Linked DNA regions of Neurospora crassa OR74A. The protein of the gene in region 3 purifies or fractionates together with the protein of the main gene of each other region. This does not show direct contact. Links are inferred from orthologs where the notes say so. Each region holds a gene or a part of one and is shown on either strand. Other genes may lie near its edges.

Region 1 (5,363 bases), on a different chromosome or scaffold from region 3:
TGATTCGGGAGTTCTAGGACTTGTTAGGACATTTGAAAGGACTTTATGGAACAAGTTAATTCGAACAATTGCGAACCATCAAAACAAAGAAACATAACAGCCCCGATCGTGATTGAATCAGATGAAATTTGCGCTGCTCTAACGAGTCTGTTTGTCTTTTTTACCCAAACCCAGGGCTGATCATGCCTCAACACCACATTAGCATCACAAATAGTCCGTCTACATAGTAAACAACCCCCCTCAAGACAACGTCTCTGCCACCAACTTCAACACCTCGTCCGTCTTCTTTCCCGCATTTTTCGGATCCTTCGCCACCCTCGTCCACTCCTCTCCATGCCTAGGATCCACCAACACGCACTTGGCCACCAAATCCGCCCTCTTCTCCTCCGTCCCATGCTGCACCAAAAACTTGTAATACCACGCCCACGTATCGCCCACATCGCGATCCAGCAACAGCGCCTTCTCGAACCAGTTCTGCGCCCGGTCCAGCTTCCTTTCCGCCCACAGAATTCTCGCGGCCGTGACCAGCAGGATCGGATCGTCTTCCACCTTTTTCACCGCCTCGGCAAGCAGCGATTTCCGCTGCGTGCGCGGCTCGAGGTTGAGGATCCTTTCCGCCCACAGCAAGCCCGATTTGGGCATCTGCTGTAACGCTTGCGCCATGAGCGACTTGGCCTGGTTCAAGTTGCCCGCGCGCCGCTCGACGCGGATGAGTTCCGTCCATAGCTCCGGGGACTTGGGCACGGCTTGTCGGGCGCGGTCGAGGACCGAGCGCGCCTTGACGACATTGTTGGCCTTTTCTTCTAAACGAGAGTACAGAAGCCAGAGCGGGATGGACGAAGGGACGGCGCGCACGCCGGTGCTGTAGGCTTCCCGCGCAGGACCAAGTTGGCCGAGGTCTTCGTAGATTTGGCCCTTCATCATCCAGAGTTTGGGCTTGGAAGGGAAGAGCTGTAGGGCCTGTTGGACGAGATCCAAAGCGGCCTCGTTGACGCCTTGTTGACGCTCAAACGCCACGGAGCGCATCCACACGCGATCGGTGGGCGCATTCTGGCGCGCGGTCTTGAGGAGTTCGCGGGCTTTGTCGATGAAACCGTTGTCGGCTTCGAGCTTGACGGCCGCCAGCCAGATGTCCTCGCTGTCCGGGTTCTGCTTGAAGGCGCGGGCAAGGACGAGGCGTGCCTCGTCGACGCCCGCCTCGGCGGCTTTCTCGCGCGCGAGCATGAGCCAGAAGACTTCGTAGTGCGGACAGGCCTCGACGGCCTTTTCGAGCGCGTGCCAGAGGTCTTCCTTGCTGCCGTGGTTGCGCTCCAGGTCGATGGCGGCCGTGTAGAGCGATTTGCTGTTGGGGAAGACGCGGATGGCGTAGGCGTAGATGGCGCGCGCTGTGGCGAACTTGTCCCGGTTGATGGAGGCGCGCGCGTCTTCCATCCAGAGCTCCTTGCGGTCATCGTCCTCGTCGAGACCCCAGCCAAGCGTCTCTTCGATGATGTTGCTGCAAGTGATGACGGCGCCTTCCTCTTCGCACTTTTCTGCTTCGGCGATCCATTCCTCGCGCTTGGGCATGGCGTTCTGCTTGGCGAGGAACTTGACGGCGTTCTTCATCACGGGCCGCTTCTTGCCTTCGCCTAGTTGTTCTTCCAGGCGAGCGGCGGCGATCCAGAGTTCGTGCGAGTTGGGAAGCTTCTTGACGGCCTTGTTGAGAACCTTGCGGGCGTTTTCGGGAGTCTCGAGACGGGCCAGTGCCAACCAGAGGTCGAGCGACTCCGGGATAAGCTCCGTCGCCTTGGCTAGTAGAATGCGGGCGTCTTCGACGTCCTCCTCGAGGTTGACAGCCTCCTTCCATAGCGCCTCGGACTCTTGGTTATGATCGAGAGCTCTCCGGATAACCTTCTTCTTTGATCTAGGGTCGTTTTCCAGCTTCATCGCTTCCACCCAAAGCTTGACCGAGTGTGGGTTGGCTTGAATAGCCTGTGCCGCAATGACCTTGGCGTTCCGGTTGTCGTTCAAATGAATGTTTTCCAGCCAAATATCCTCGCTCTTCGGGCAGTGTTCGCAGCCCTTGGCAATCAAGCTGCGGGCAGCACCAGGCTTTCCCGCCGCGATTTCCAATCTCGCTGCAGCAATCCAACTGGCTGCCTGTTTGGGGTTCGAGTCGACAGCCGACTTGAGCATCTTCCTGAACTGCTCAATGTCTCCAATGCTTTGTTCCGCACCCTGCATGCTCGACAGCGATGTCAGGTAGCCCTTGGGGTCGATACTCGTCGCGCTTCCCGCCGTGGCCACGCTACTCGACTGTGATTGCTGTTCCAAGCGCGCCCTCAGCACCTTGTCGCGAGCCGCACCGATCTTTGCGAAATCTGTAACTGTGCCATCCTTGTTGACCCCTTCGGTGGCGGTGCCGTCTTCTGCAACGGTGGTACCGAACTGGCCGGAATCTCGCGCGGCAGCGAGGACACTGTCGGGAACGGCGTAGAAGCGCTCCATGCGAGCCTGGCGTGCCCTCTTGGTCCTGCCGGTAAGGTCCTTGGGATCTGGTAGGTTTGCCCATTCTTCGTCGGTGACCGTCTCGAGCGCTCGTTTGAGGCCGGCGAATTGCTGTTGGATTTTGGGGTTCTTTCGTTCGTACTCTAATCGTTCGGCTTCTTCTCGTGCTTCCCTGTGAAAATGCGATTTCTTGTCGGTACTCTGCTTTTCATCTATCTTGACCGATAAACCACATGCTTGCTTGAAAGTGTTGGGGAAGGGGTAGAAGGGTGTTTTGTGAATTTATGTAGGATGTCAAGTGATGTATACGAGGTAATGACTAACCTTTGCTTCTGTCGCCGCTTCGCCATCCTGTCGTCTACCTCTTTCCATATCCGATCTGCCTCCTCGTCGTCCTTCTCGTATATGCCGCCGGCGAACAAGCCGACTTCGTTGTCGGGATCCTGATAGCGGCCATCGTCTTCATTGTCGTCGTCCTTGGCCTCGGTCAGACCTAGCTGTGCAGATCTCTTCGCGACGGCCGCCTTGATCTGGTCTTCACTAGGACCCTCGCGCGCGGGACCAAGATCGGATCGTGTAGTGAAACCCGTGGCACCACGACCGAGACCGGCGACGTAGTTCTCGGGTGCGGGTTGACTGAGGAAATCCCGTCTAGACATGGTGGCGGTTTTCTGTATTCGTGATGTATTGTAGAGACGCGGTGGCTAGGATTGTGACCGTGGTGGCCGTAGAGGTAGCTCCAAACATTTGAGTTAGCGGCAAAATACCGGCAGGCTGCAAGTCGAAGTGGAAGTCGAACTCCAGGGCACTGAAGCCTGCCTGCCACTGGTCCAGGCGCTCTTGGCATTTGACGAACGAATGGCAGGCACAGTGCCAAGTAAACAGTCTACGACTCCACCAGTGCTTGGCGGCTTAATTCCACTTTCGTTGTTTACTTCCTCCTATCATTCATCTACCTCCTTTCCCGTCTTCACCATCACCAGTCAGCGGAGCCATGATGGCCATAGAAGACAACTATGACGATATTTCAGCGCTCCTGCCGTCGGCAACTGAAATGGCCTGGCTCAGTGAGGCGTGAAGTGGGACAACTTCACCCAGATGCTCGTCTGCTCTTCGTGTTGCAGCATCACTAAGGGAAATGCATTATTCATCTATGGCAATGCCTGCGATCAGCCTAGCCAACAATGTCCAACTTCAACCTCCCATTTAAATTCTTTCTGTGCAGGTGCGGCAACTACAGCATTTATGCCTCGCACCATTCAACCTTCACGGTCAGGTTAACCGCAAAGGCGGCACCATGCAAGGCGAATATACTCCCTCACCGAGACTTCGTAACACAGGTTTTCCTGTTTACAATAAACATGCTGTACAACGGCACACGATGACTGAGCCTATGCCTTTTTATTCTGCAATGAATTTAGGCTGGGTTTAGCTCCTTGCCGGCCGTCTACCTAGGTATATTTATTCAGTACCACGTCCCTGATTGAGTATACAGCGGGATCCGAGTTCGCACAACTTGAACGTCTGTACACAAGGTGCTTCCAATCTGCATACACTGTCTCAAAGCACTCATGGCGACTGAAGGAAAGCTACTCCAGCGCCGCCCACTCGAACCACCAATGTGCAATTTCGAGACCCTCCTGTTGACTAAATCTCATAAGTATGGGCATCTAGCTCGCTTCTTCACCCTTTACTACCACTCACATATTCGGTCCAGACCTTCTTGCTCGTCCATCACAGGAGAGCTTGATGTGATAGTCATGGAGCCGCTGATCAAAAACCCGATGTCTTCTCATATCAAACACTCATCAAATGACTCCGCAGGTAAGATCTCTTGGAAACCAGGCGGCTTCAGACGTTTTCCCTGGTTTGGGATAATTCCGCTGATCTTTTGTATAAGCTGTGAGTACTCGTTCCTACGTTCACCACAACACTGAGGCTGTGACCAAGTACCGACAATGCTAACTGCAAGGACTAGGTACAGGAATTGCTATAGGAGTCGTTCTCGAGAGCGATGGTGGTTCGGAAAAGAACTGGTCCGGGCTCAGACAACCCGGTGTTTTGTTGGCGTACACATCGACTCTTGCAAACGCGTTGATGGGGCTTGCCTTTGCCCAAGCGGCCGTGATATTCTTCTGGGTCCAAGCAACAACGCCGCTACCAGTTGAGTTCCGGCATCTCTCGGCTGTCAGTCAGTATGATATATCAATTGACACGATATACAGATTAGCAGCCTCCACCATAACTGGGCCGGATCTTCAAGCACCATGGGCGCAGTCAAGTCCATCTTCCAGGGAAAGGCGATTCGCGTCAGTTTAGGTTAGAATTTCAATACTCCCCTGCCCCGGTCTTTACCACATCAGAGATATTATGGCATCATCACTTACGTTTGTACAGTATCTATCCTCGTCACAGTCACGGCCCTCCTTCGCGGTCCTCTGATGCAACGAGCCTCGTATGTTCAAGTGGTCGATGTATGGCAGAACAATACCATTGATCTTCCAGTCACTTTGAATATCAGCAGCCTTTGGGGCAGAAAGTTTGGCAAGTTAAATGTGGAGTATACGCGGCCCATTGGGCAATTCGCTCCTGGATTCTCAGATGTGGTCCGCGACCTTCTAAACAAAGCGCCCATTCGGATGAGAGGGGTATATTGTGAGAACTGCACCTTAACTATCGTGGTGAGATATATTCTAGGCCCAATACTCCAATCATCATAGTGCCATCTTGAGCTGTCGTTTCGCTGGCCACGACTAACTTGAGATCATTGGTTCAGGCATTCGGCTTCGATGTTATCAACTGTACAGAACTAAGAAACAGCTCGGATACATATGATCTCGATTTCAAGGCGATCGAACCACTGAGAGAACATAATG
Region 2 (4,943 bases), on a different chromosome or scaffold from region 3:
AACTGCCGGGTGGTATTCCTTCTCCTGGGGTATCTCTATACCTCCCATATACCCATCCGCATATCCTCCGGCATACCCTCCGGCATATTCCCCCGCATAACCTCCCATGTAGTAACCCTCTGTGTATTCATAATCTCCCCAAGTACCTGCAGGAAAAATCAGCTGGGGTACAACAAGGAAGGATTTTCAAGGGCGTACCGTCAGCCAATTTCCTGGCTCGATAGAAGTAGGTTCCATCTTCACTTGACACCCAATCTGACCACACCTGCACAGGCTCGACCACCACTTTCTTTTCCCGCTTCCATGGGAACCACTTGAAGCCCTTCGCCGGGTGCTCGGTAGTATAGGCCCGATGTCTTCCTGGCATTATGGCGAAGGCAAGACAATACCTTGAGACCTGACCAAGAGAGAAACACGGAAGGAGTGGGCCTCCGGTTGACTAAAGCAGGTACGACGCCCTCGTGTAGGAAATCCAGGGCCAATACGACCTTCAAGTGTGATCTCGGTTTGACAGGACCACGTAGTCCAGGCAGTCTGCGTTCTTTTTCTTGAGGTGAAGCAAACAGCGAATGGAATTCTCGATTCACTAAAAAAGGATCTTGTGACAAAACGAACCGATCCCACGCTGGGAGACGGACGGGCATAAGTAGGAGACGGGAAGCCCACATCACCAGGGGTAAAAGTCTGCACGACGGCCAAGTCAACTCCTCAATTACCGGAACTGATGGAGTGACCAGACCAGAGATCTTCCACTCGGAACTGAGATGTCATGTAGCGTCCAGCGCTAGAAGTTGGCAGACACCTCCTGGAGAGTGGTGAGACGTCCAATCAGGGCAAAGACGAGGACATGATGGTGGGAGGTGGGATGCAACCGGAGCTGCCGTCGAGCTTGTCAAAGCTTGCTAGTACCGCACCATCACCACACGATCCAGCTCACACAGCGAGATAACAAAGAAGGTGGAGAGAAAAGACCGAGAACTCGGAGCAACCAAGACGGAGGAGCAGACGCACACAGATCATGGTCTCTCGATGCACATGCATGCAGCCTATAACAGCCAGTGCTATGGAAGATCAGTCCACGCCAAACCCACCTGCCGCAGCTCGAGGTTGAGACGGTTAGTTGCCTCGCCCATTCAGCGGTGCCGGGGCGGTTCGTGGGGTTTGATCATAGGGTTTGGGCATCAAGCTGACAACACAGCAATTGGCCGGCGGCCCACTTGGCCAGCCCGTCACTGCGTTTTGAAAATGGGACAAGGCCAGATGGCCCCTTACTCGCTGGACTACGTAGCCGTGCAAGCCGTGGTCGTGGCCGACAGGGAGCGAGGATGGAGGCATGTATGTAGTAGCATGATGCAGAAGGACCCGGGTACGGCATCTCTCGGGGCGCGAGGAAGTCTGGAGAACGTCGAGGGGCGTTTTCTGTCCTGTATCACGTCCCGTCCTTGGCTGATAGGCAATGGCTAGACGAGGCCGTCGAGAATGTGGGAGTTGCTCGTCAACGGTTGGCTGGTGGTATGGGGCAAAGCGGGAGGGGAGTGACTGTCCAATATTCGGGGACAAGGGTGAATTGAGAACCGAAGGACCTCACATAATTCAGCGTATAGAACATCGAAGAAGGCCTCATTGAGAAAAAGGTTGGGGATGCTGTGTTCAATGCGTTGGACAATCCCATCCCCGTGACGGCCGCCATCATGCGACGACTCGGAACATGAGCCAGGAAAGTTGAGCGATAACGGCGTTCGGGGTGCTGAACCAGACAGTTCATACTTTGATTGAGTACAAGCGTATGACAGCAGGCCGGTAAATTCCACTTACTGCCAATGGGTTGAAGAAAGAAGGTTTATGTCAGTGACGATGACGAGGTTTTGGATGACCGAAGACCACCAGTTCACTGAATGTGGGGACAGCGCAGAAGAGGCGTGTGGGGAAGCCTCCACACTTCCTTGTAGTGTAGGACCTCAATGCGCGGTACGTACCGTGAGATCTGGCAGCTGTCTTGCAGCTGACAAGATCAACTAAGCTCTCCGACGAAATTCCCAGCAGCACCGGGCTGACAGGGCTGCCGCGTTCACGTCAAAGGCAACTGATCGCATCCACTATCATCGCGAACCAAGTCGCCTGTACTTACGGCATACCATCTAGGTAATCTCTAAAACCAACACCAAGAAAGATCAGTTCGCCCCTCCACATCGCCAACCAACCTCACCACGTAATAACACAGCCGCCAACATGACTTCCACAATTGGTATCCCCATCAAGCTCCTCAATGAGGCTCAGGTAAGTAAACACCATTGCTATGCACAGACTGTAGTGCTGCCAAAAGCTAACCAACCACTCCTGTCCCACAGGGCCATATCGTCACTCTCGAGATCACCTCCGGCCAGACCTACCGTGGCAAGCTTATCGAAGGTACTGCTAACCCCCATGAACTCTTCATTCCCATTCACTCCTCTAAACTGGCCAGCCATGCTAACCAATGCGCTCCCCCGCAAAACAGCCGAGGACAACATGAACGTCCAACTCAAGGACATCACCGTCACAGCCCGCGACGGGCGCGTCAGCCATCTCGAACAAGTCTACATCCGCGGCAGTCATGTGCGATTCTTTATTGTGCCGGATATGTTGAGGTACGTTCAAACCAGGCCACCACCAACTCATCCGTTGCGATTCTTCTCCCCAGTTGCCCCCTACCTACCCAATAAGTCGGATAGGACCCAAGCTAATCATTTCCTCCTCCTCTTTTTTTTGTGTTCCCATACAGAAACGCCCCCATGTTCCGCTCCCGCAACGTCCGCGGCCGCGGTGTCGGTCTCGCCCGCGGTCGTGCGACAGTCAGTAGGGCGCGCGCCGGTGGTCGTGGCGGCGCCAGATAGAAGACAGCGAGCGCCGCCTGTCGTCAGACTCATCGACCAAGACCAGACCCAGACCGAGAATCATTGAAAATTTCACAACGGAATGCAATATTGGGGCACAATAATCGGCATATTATGGCTCCTTTTTTTTTTCCGCGCGCAACGACAACCGCTATTTTGATATTTTAGGCGTTTTGGGTGGGGGGAACCAATAAAGCAAACTTTGATCTTCTTTCTACCGAAAATGGGGGGCAGCGAGTTGGATGGAAAGAGAAAAGTGTGGGGGGCAAGCTTTGGATGCCCAGAGAAGGAGGAACAGGAGGGATAGGGAGGAGGGTGGCTCAAGGCCGGCCAGAGATGAGAAGGGACTGGAGTGAGTGCTGGGGCTGGGATTGGAGGGTTGAGAGCCTCGATGAGGAGTGATATGGAGGACGCCAGCTGGCCCCGCTCATCCATCTGCTGCCAAATGATGATCATGGGAGAAGCGTGGCGTATCCAGGGGTTTTCACGCTCCGCCAGCTGGACGATAATGGTCGGTCGATGCAACAGCCGCTACCCGTCCGTCAGCACGCAACGAAAACCTGGCTTCATCACGGTTAGCAGCCAGAGCGAACCAGGTGTTCAGCCAGCCTCAGGTCTCCCCCCAGTTGAGTCCTTGGCCAAGGAGCGAGCACATACAGCATGGATCGAATCGCACCGAAAGCGAAACTCCTACTAGCCCTGGTTCTGATATAGACAGGGTACGTATTCAACGTCTTTGTCTATTATGTTGTTGTACACACAACCCATTCCATCTTCAGCCTACGCTGACAGTTTTTGATATCTACCACAAAAGTCCGATGCCCCCTTTTTACTCCCACTTCGGCTTGCTTTTTTAATGGTACATAAGAGTGTAGCCCTGGTTGATCTGTTGCGTCCGCCGGTTCTAACCCGCCTGTCCCTATATGTGAGGCTCGCATAAGACGAGCTTGCAACAATGCTCTGAGTGAGAGTGAATCGTGTAGACTAAATATACAACTGGCTGTTTAAGGGTTGAGTTGGAGAGGGCATATTGTCAAAACACCCACCTAAGGGACTAACAGGCAGGGCGAGAGGGCTGTGGAAAATAATAAGCACAAGAAGTCCGAAACTGACCAAGTTCGGTTTGCAGAATGTCCTTCTAAACATCTGTTGCAACCCATCATTTCTACTTCAGCCTCGCAAGCGCTTCCTCGGCCCGCTTGAGGACACTCTTGGCCTCCTTCAGCTCCTCAATCTCAACCGCCACATCCTCGGGAACTTCAGGAGAAACGCTATCCAGCACCTCGGCAATGCTGGCTTCGGTTGCGCGAATAGCCTTGCGTCCTTCCTCACGAACCTCGCCCTCCCAGAAATCTCTCGCCCTCTCCCACCTTTTCTGCAAGCCCCTCAAACTCAAAACAATACCCAAGGCGGCGACGGCTCCACACTCATATATTCCGAATCCAGAGAGCCAGGACATGCCGCCGAGTGCCGTGGTGGCTCCCGCTAATGTTGATGACTGTAGCACGAGCTTCTGCGCCAGTGCTTGCAGGGCCGGAACAGTTTCCGCTAGTAGATAGTTTCTTGTGAAGGGGATATGCGCAGGCCAATTTCCCTTGGTCTCTGATTCCGTAGTAGCAGCAGTAGTAGCAACACTGCTCTCGCCCTCGGGGAACGACGGTGGAACCGCCGGGCCGGAGTACGTCACCGGCTTTTCTCCGCCCGCAGTAGTAATTCCAGCCTCCTGGAGCCTGCCGGCCAAAAAGATCAAGCGCTTCTCAGCCTCGGGCAAGAATCGTTGGGCAATCATCTCAGACGACAGCATGCCCACGTCATCCACCCGCCAAAACAGCTTCCACCAGTTCATCTGCCTCCACGCTTCGCCGACGAACGCAATCTCTAACTGCTGCTGCAGCTCCTCGTGCGCATCCTTGGCCCAGTCCGCCAGCGCCTGGTTCAGGCGCGCAATCGTGTGCGGCGACGGGCCCCCTTCTACCGAGACCTTCATGTCGCGGTACTCGGCCGCCTGGAGCGCCGCGCCGGCGTTGTGCAGAATGGACTCAATCAGCTTGCGCACGGGCGCCTTGGTGG
Region 3 (4,847 bases):
GACATCCACAAGCGGAGCTATCTCTTCAACACAGTCCAAGGCTTCCTGTGTCTCGATCTGCACCATGGTCAAGAGACTCTCGTTCGCTTGCTGGAGGTATTCGGTGAAGGTTGGCATGGGGTTGAAGTTTTGCATAGCGATGGGTGATCCAAACCCTCTCTTGCCTTCGGGTGGGAACTTTGCCGCGGTAACCAAGTTTTTGACATCCTCAACAGTCCTGATGAGCGGCGCAAGGATCTGGAGCACGTCAGAAAAATGTCTCCAACACAGGATACTCTTATACACTCACTCCATGCGCACCACTATCCAACGCTCCTGTAAAGGGTACATCAGTAACCGTCTGAGTGATAAGGCAATACGAATGGCACTCACGCTTGACCATCGATGGCTGAAGGTCTGGGATCCGGACAATAGGAGAAACGCCCAGGGCAGCAATGGCCGGAACTGCTTCGTGCATCGCAGCATCTGACCAATATCATTCAGCTCAACAAGCCCCATCATTCACCACCGTATTACGGGTTACCTACCGTCGATGTTTCCATGCTCGCAGTCAACCATTACCCAGTCAGCCCCCGATCGAGCGAGAATCCTCGAGATATTGGCCCCGGGTAGCATCTGCCAGACACCCATAGCAGGGCGGCTTTCCTGGGTGAAGATTTGCTTCAACGAATTGGCCGCCAGCATCTTGGAAGTTGGGTTACCGGAAGACATTGTACGGAGTTGGTGAAGCGGAGTGACGTGAACGACTTTGTTCAGTGAAGAGATATGATGCTTCAGGAGTTTTAACGTACGAAGGGGAGGAAAGGCATGCCAAGTCAGTGGGGATGCAGGTGGAAGCTCGGACTAAGTCAACCCGAACTCTTTTAAAGCAAATCCGATAACACACAGTACACACTATGATTTCAAAGTTGATGTGCAGCTCCGAACCAAGGTCCCGCCGCCACATACTCGAGGTCAACTGTAATAACCTGACGGCAGATGGCGAGGAAATGTACTGGCTGCGTTGGGTGAACAAGTTCAATTGCTGGCCAATTTGGTACACCTTCGGGAGATGTTCGTCCCCTGCCTTCGTCCAAGAGATACACAGTAGGGCGGGGCTCCTACTGCGGGGTTCGCGTCTGTATCTCCCTCCGCATTCGGTTCTACCTAGGCTGTTCTGACTGGAGACACCACAACCTCTGCCGGTATTCGGATTATTGACATGTTCAAACTTTCCGAGTCACGGGAACGGCAGGTTCAATGGGCTTGAATGGTCTCATGGAAGTCCTTCAAGCCATGGTGGACGTTGACATCCGCATCTTGGCCCTGCTATACGTATAAGCTTCCACAGAATTTCATAGGGCTCTTTGAGACTGCCGCAAGTCAGCGACGAGAAGCTCCAGGAGGAGAAAGCTCTGCATTTCTGATGGTAGACCATACGATGATGAAGGCAATTATTCAAGCAGCAACCGAAAACAGTTGAGGGCTGCATTGACACCCCAAAGCGGATAAAAGTAAACAAAGCAACCCTCCCGAATGAAAAGGGGCAAGCTGATGGGTGAGCGTCGCTTTTGCGGCAGGCAATTGAGTGGAGAATGGATCCGCTTCAGAAGCTCCAGCCTTCACCACAGTGCTGGTACGTTGTCTGCCGTGAGCCGTCGTCAGTGATCTGGGCTTGGCGATTCTACGGAAGAACAAGAGAAGCTCCAGCTTCAACGGCGACGTTCTTGTCCCATCCCCACGATTTAACCACATCCCTCCCCGCCAGCATTACGTACCCACTATTCTTCTTTGACGCGGCGCGCCGACCAGGTTGTATTCCTCTTTCGCGATCGGTCAACGAGAAACGAAAACATCAATAACCACGAACCAATTGCCCCATTCGAAGCGACGAACGACCAAACGACCCCATCCGGCCGGGCTTACCAAGATCACACGAAGCGAACAAATTGCCCTCGAGTTGAACCGACGACTTTCTGTCTGCAACCACGTGTTTCGCTTGAATCAATACTCTTCAAGTTAGACCGTGGGCTTTACGTGATACTTTGCTTATCACCGCGGTCTTGGGCCCGCGCATTGCCGGTACGAGAAAACACACAAAGACTACAGTAATAGCATCTACTCATCCGTCACCATGTCGGCGGGCTTGGTAAATTCGTACCTCAACAGTTGGTCTACCCTTCTACCTGAGCCCTTCGGCTTTTTCGACCCCTCTTCCTCTTTCCTCCATTGCTTCGGTCACAAGATCAATTGGTCACGGCATCCCAAAGTTAAAGGATATTCGCAAGACCAGAAAGCTAACAGATCCATCTTTCGTTACTTTAGAAAAGGTTTGCATAATTACAGTCGATGGCCGCACCTTAGTAGGCACACTGATCTCGGTAGACATGAGCACGAATGTGGTCAGTATATGCTCCCTCCCAATCCATACTTCGATACAGTTCCTCTGCCACCTGATAAACAAAACAAAGCATATCGCGAACGACAACTAACCCTCCAACAAACTAGTTCCTACAAAGAGCAGTTGAACGAGTCATTCGCTCCCCCGATGATGACGAGCCCTCGGCCGAGATCGAGCTGGGAACGCACATGATTCGCGGGGACACGGTCTGCCTGGTTGGGTTGGTTGATGAGCCGCTGGACGAGAGCATAGACTGGACCAAAGTCAAGGGGGCTACGATTGGGACGACAAAGCACTAGAATATACCACCGAACCATTGAACCGTTTCTGCGCTATACCTGAGCGCGTGAAGCATGGTGTCACGCTCCCTCAAAACCAAGAAGAGGAGGCAGGAGAAGGAAACCAAGGGGAAAAAAGACAAAAGTCGAACGGTGTGGCGGTCGCGGGCAGTTGACATAAAGGACAACACCGGTGGATAATGTGCGTGGCACACAAGATTTGGTTGCATCATTAGCATTTGACACGCGGAGCTACAGGTTTTCTTTTACTACATTGGTATGCCCAATCGACGATCTTTCTTCCCCTCTTACTTCCCCGTTAAGACTTATGCTGACCGACGAAGAAAAAATAAAACAAGGTGTCACGGGCAGGTCCAGCTCTCGGTTTAAGGAACCCAGCGAATATTGATTTCAGATACCCCAGATCTCAAAAACTCCGCGTGGAATAGATTCGCTTTCTATATACAAAAGAAGAAGAAAATCAACAAGTGCTGCCGGCAGGTTCAACCAAAGAGTCTATCCATCAAGATGGCGGCAAACTTCTCGTCGCCGGGGGTCTTGACCATCCTGTTAATTCTGTTTCCCTTGTTCACGCTTAGCCAGCCCATGTCGTCTCCGGGGACATCGTCAAAGGTGGTCGCATCCAGAGGATCCGACGGATGCGTCTCCACCTTGCTTGACTGCTCACCCGGCTTCGCCCTCTGTCGTCTGTCGATGACATGCATGCCCCTGGTCCATTGGCCGGAGGTCTCAATTCTAATATCTTCCGGCTTCGCCACGGGTTCCCATGCGGGGTCATCCTGGGTCAACATGTACCAAATGCATGCCGGGTCATGGAGGGACAGACCGGGCTCACTGCCGTCGCCAAGCATGGCTTCGACTTTGTTGAAGATGCCTGTCATGAAGGTCTCGATCCACAGCGCAAGCGGGCTGCCGGACTTGGTGATCGGCTGGATGGTCTCGTAGAAGTACTTTTTCCTCAGCTCGAGCGGGGTGGTGATATCAAGAGGGAAAAGGGTCAGCTTAAGCTGCTTGGAAAGCTTGGCGGGGTAAGGGGGCAAAAAAGATTTGCCGTGGATGACAGGGGGCATGGTCGAGCTCGGGTTGGGCGAGGTCAGGGCGTAGACGCGGGCGGCGGCAACGGTATCGGCGAAGCAGTTGAACTCGGCGACGGGGGTCACGTTGCCCTCGACGTTTACGGCACCACCCATGACAACCAGCTCCTTGGCGCGCAGGAAGGTTTCGGGGTCCTCAGCAGCGGCCAGCGCCACGTTTGTCAGGGGACCAACGGCAACGACGGTGACGGTGTTCTCGGGCGATTCCTTCAGGACACGGAGAATCTCCTTGTGCGCTGGAGCCTTGCTTGGGGTGAAGTACTTGGAGTACGAAGGAGGCTCGACTTTTTCACCCTGGGGCTCTTCGTCGCTGAATAGAGAGCGCCAGGTGTCGGCGGGGGAAAGATGAGGTTGCTGGGGCGGTGGTCAGGTCAAACGTACCATGACAAGAAACGCAACGCAGTCCTCGGAGTTCACTTACCTTCTCGTGGACACCATGTAAACCGTCGGCACCATCTGCAATTTGTTAACTGCTTTGTTTCTGAGGGAAAAGCGGTGGGGGTCTCAGTCTGTCTTACGGAAGTGGTCGGCCGCGAGGATCTCATCCTCCAGCGCGTGCTCCGGACCAACGGCGACAATGGGTTTATGGGTGTTGAGGGCACCGAAGCCGCGAGTGCTCTTGCCTGTCTCCTCGCGCCACTTCATCTCTTTTTCCAGCACGTGGAACGTTGCCACGACGTTGCGGAGACAGCTGCGGGACGGGAAGAAAGGAACTTGAGGTCAGACAAAAGCTGCCGCTACCCGGACCGGGATTTTTCATGACCATCCATACATACCTCTGAAGCGGAACATTGCCATAAGTGACGGAGATCATAGCAAGCTCAAGCTCCTCAGGTGAGGCACTAAGGGCGAGAAGAAGAGCCAGCACATCGTCAACACCGGGGTCGGTGTCGAGAATAACACGTTGCTTGGGAGCCATGGTGGGCTTTTTCTTCTGCGAATTATCTGTCAGTTATTGATATGTATTCAGCTGCTGGTGAATTATCTGTATGCGAGGACGGGTGGCGGAGTGATGTTAAGCGGTTCACCTCTGCGGGTTGTGGAAGTGTATATGTGTGTGACGCCTTCAAGCGG

Evidence for each region.
Region 1: the proteins of NCU03085 (region 3) and NCU04606 purify together in Saccharomyces cerevisiae (affinity purification with mass spectrometry; 3 studies listed by BioGRID, with this or other methods). This does not show direct contact. The link is inferred for Neurospora crassa OR74A from reciprocal best matches to the Saccharomyces cerevisiae genes LSM8 and PRP6.
Region 2: the proteins of NCU03085 (region 3) and NCU03625 purify together in Saccharomyces cerevisiae (affinity purification with mass spectrometry, with the first as the bait; 3 studies listed by BioGRID). This does not show direct contact. The link is inferred for Neurospora crassa OR74A from reciprocal best matches to the Saccharomyces cerevisiae genes LSM8 and SMD3.

What each region holds. Positions count from the first base shown.
Region 1 is NC_026505.1:1,527,143-1,532,505, reverse strand, and holds NCU04606 (pre-mRNA splicing factor), read right to left. Parts: upstream 3,240-5,363; 5' UTR 3,147-3,239; coding exon 2,812-3,146; intron 2,700-2,811; exon of another isoform or gene 2,660-2,699; coding exon 241-2,659; 3' UTR 107-240; downstream 1-106. Other genes in the region: NCU04607 (hypothetical protein), read left to right, coding at 4,755-4,806, 4,885-4,942. UniProt on the Saccharomyces cerevisiae protein: Participates in pre-mRNA splicing. Part of the U4/U5/U6 tri-snRNP complex, one of the building blocks of the spliceosome.
Region 2 is NC_026505.1:1,886,711-1,891,653, reverse strand, and holds NCU03625 (small nuclear ribonucleoprotein Sm D3), read left to right. Parts: upstream 1-2,045; 5' UTR 2,046-2,229; coding exon 2,230-2,277; intron 2,278-2,348; coding exon 2,349-2,409; intron 2,410-2,497; coding exon 2,498-2,627; intron 2,628-2,761; coding exon 2,762-2,873; 3' UTR 2,874-4,004; downstream 4,005-4,943. Other genes in the region: NCU03626 (hypothetical protein), read right to left, coding at 1-146, 199-367; NCU03624 (hypothetical protein), read right to left, coding at 4,039-4,943. UniProt on the Saccharomyces cerevisiae protein: Plays a role in pre-mRNA splicing as a core component of the spliceosomal U1, U2, U4 and U5 small nuclear ribonucleoproteins (snRNPs), the building blocks of the spliceosome. Also binds telomerase RNA and is required for its accumulation.
Region 3 is NC_026501.1:4,491,989-4,496,835, reverse strand, and holds NCU03085 (small nuclear ribonucleoprotein Lsm8), read left to right. Parts: upstream 1-1,633; 5' UTR 1,634-2,113; coding exon 2,114-2,147; intron 2,148-2,304; coding exon 2,305-2,381; intron 2,382-2,487; coding exon 2,488-2,679; 3' UTR 2,680-3,161; downstream 3,162-4,847. Other genes in the region: NCU03086 (HpcH/HpaI aldolase/citrate lyase family protein), read right to left, coding at 1-237, 290-315, 373-465, 528-711; NCU03084 (inosine-uridine preferring nucleoside hydrolase, variant), read right to left, coding at 3,162-4,127, 4,195-4,229, 4,292-4,464, 4,550-4,692. UniProt on the Saccharomyces cerevisiae protein: Component of the nuclear LSM2-LSM8 complex, which is involved in spliceosome assembly. The LSM2-LSM8 complex plays a role in the biogenesis of the spliceosomal U4/U6-U5 tri-snRNP complex by accelerating PRP24-mediated annealing of U4/U6 di-snRNA.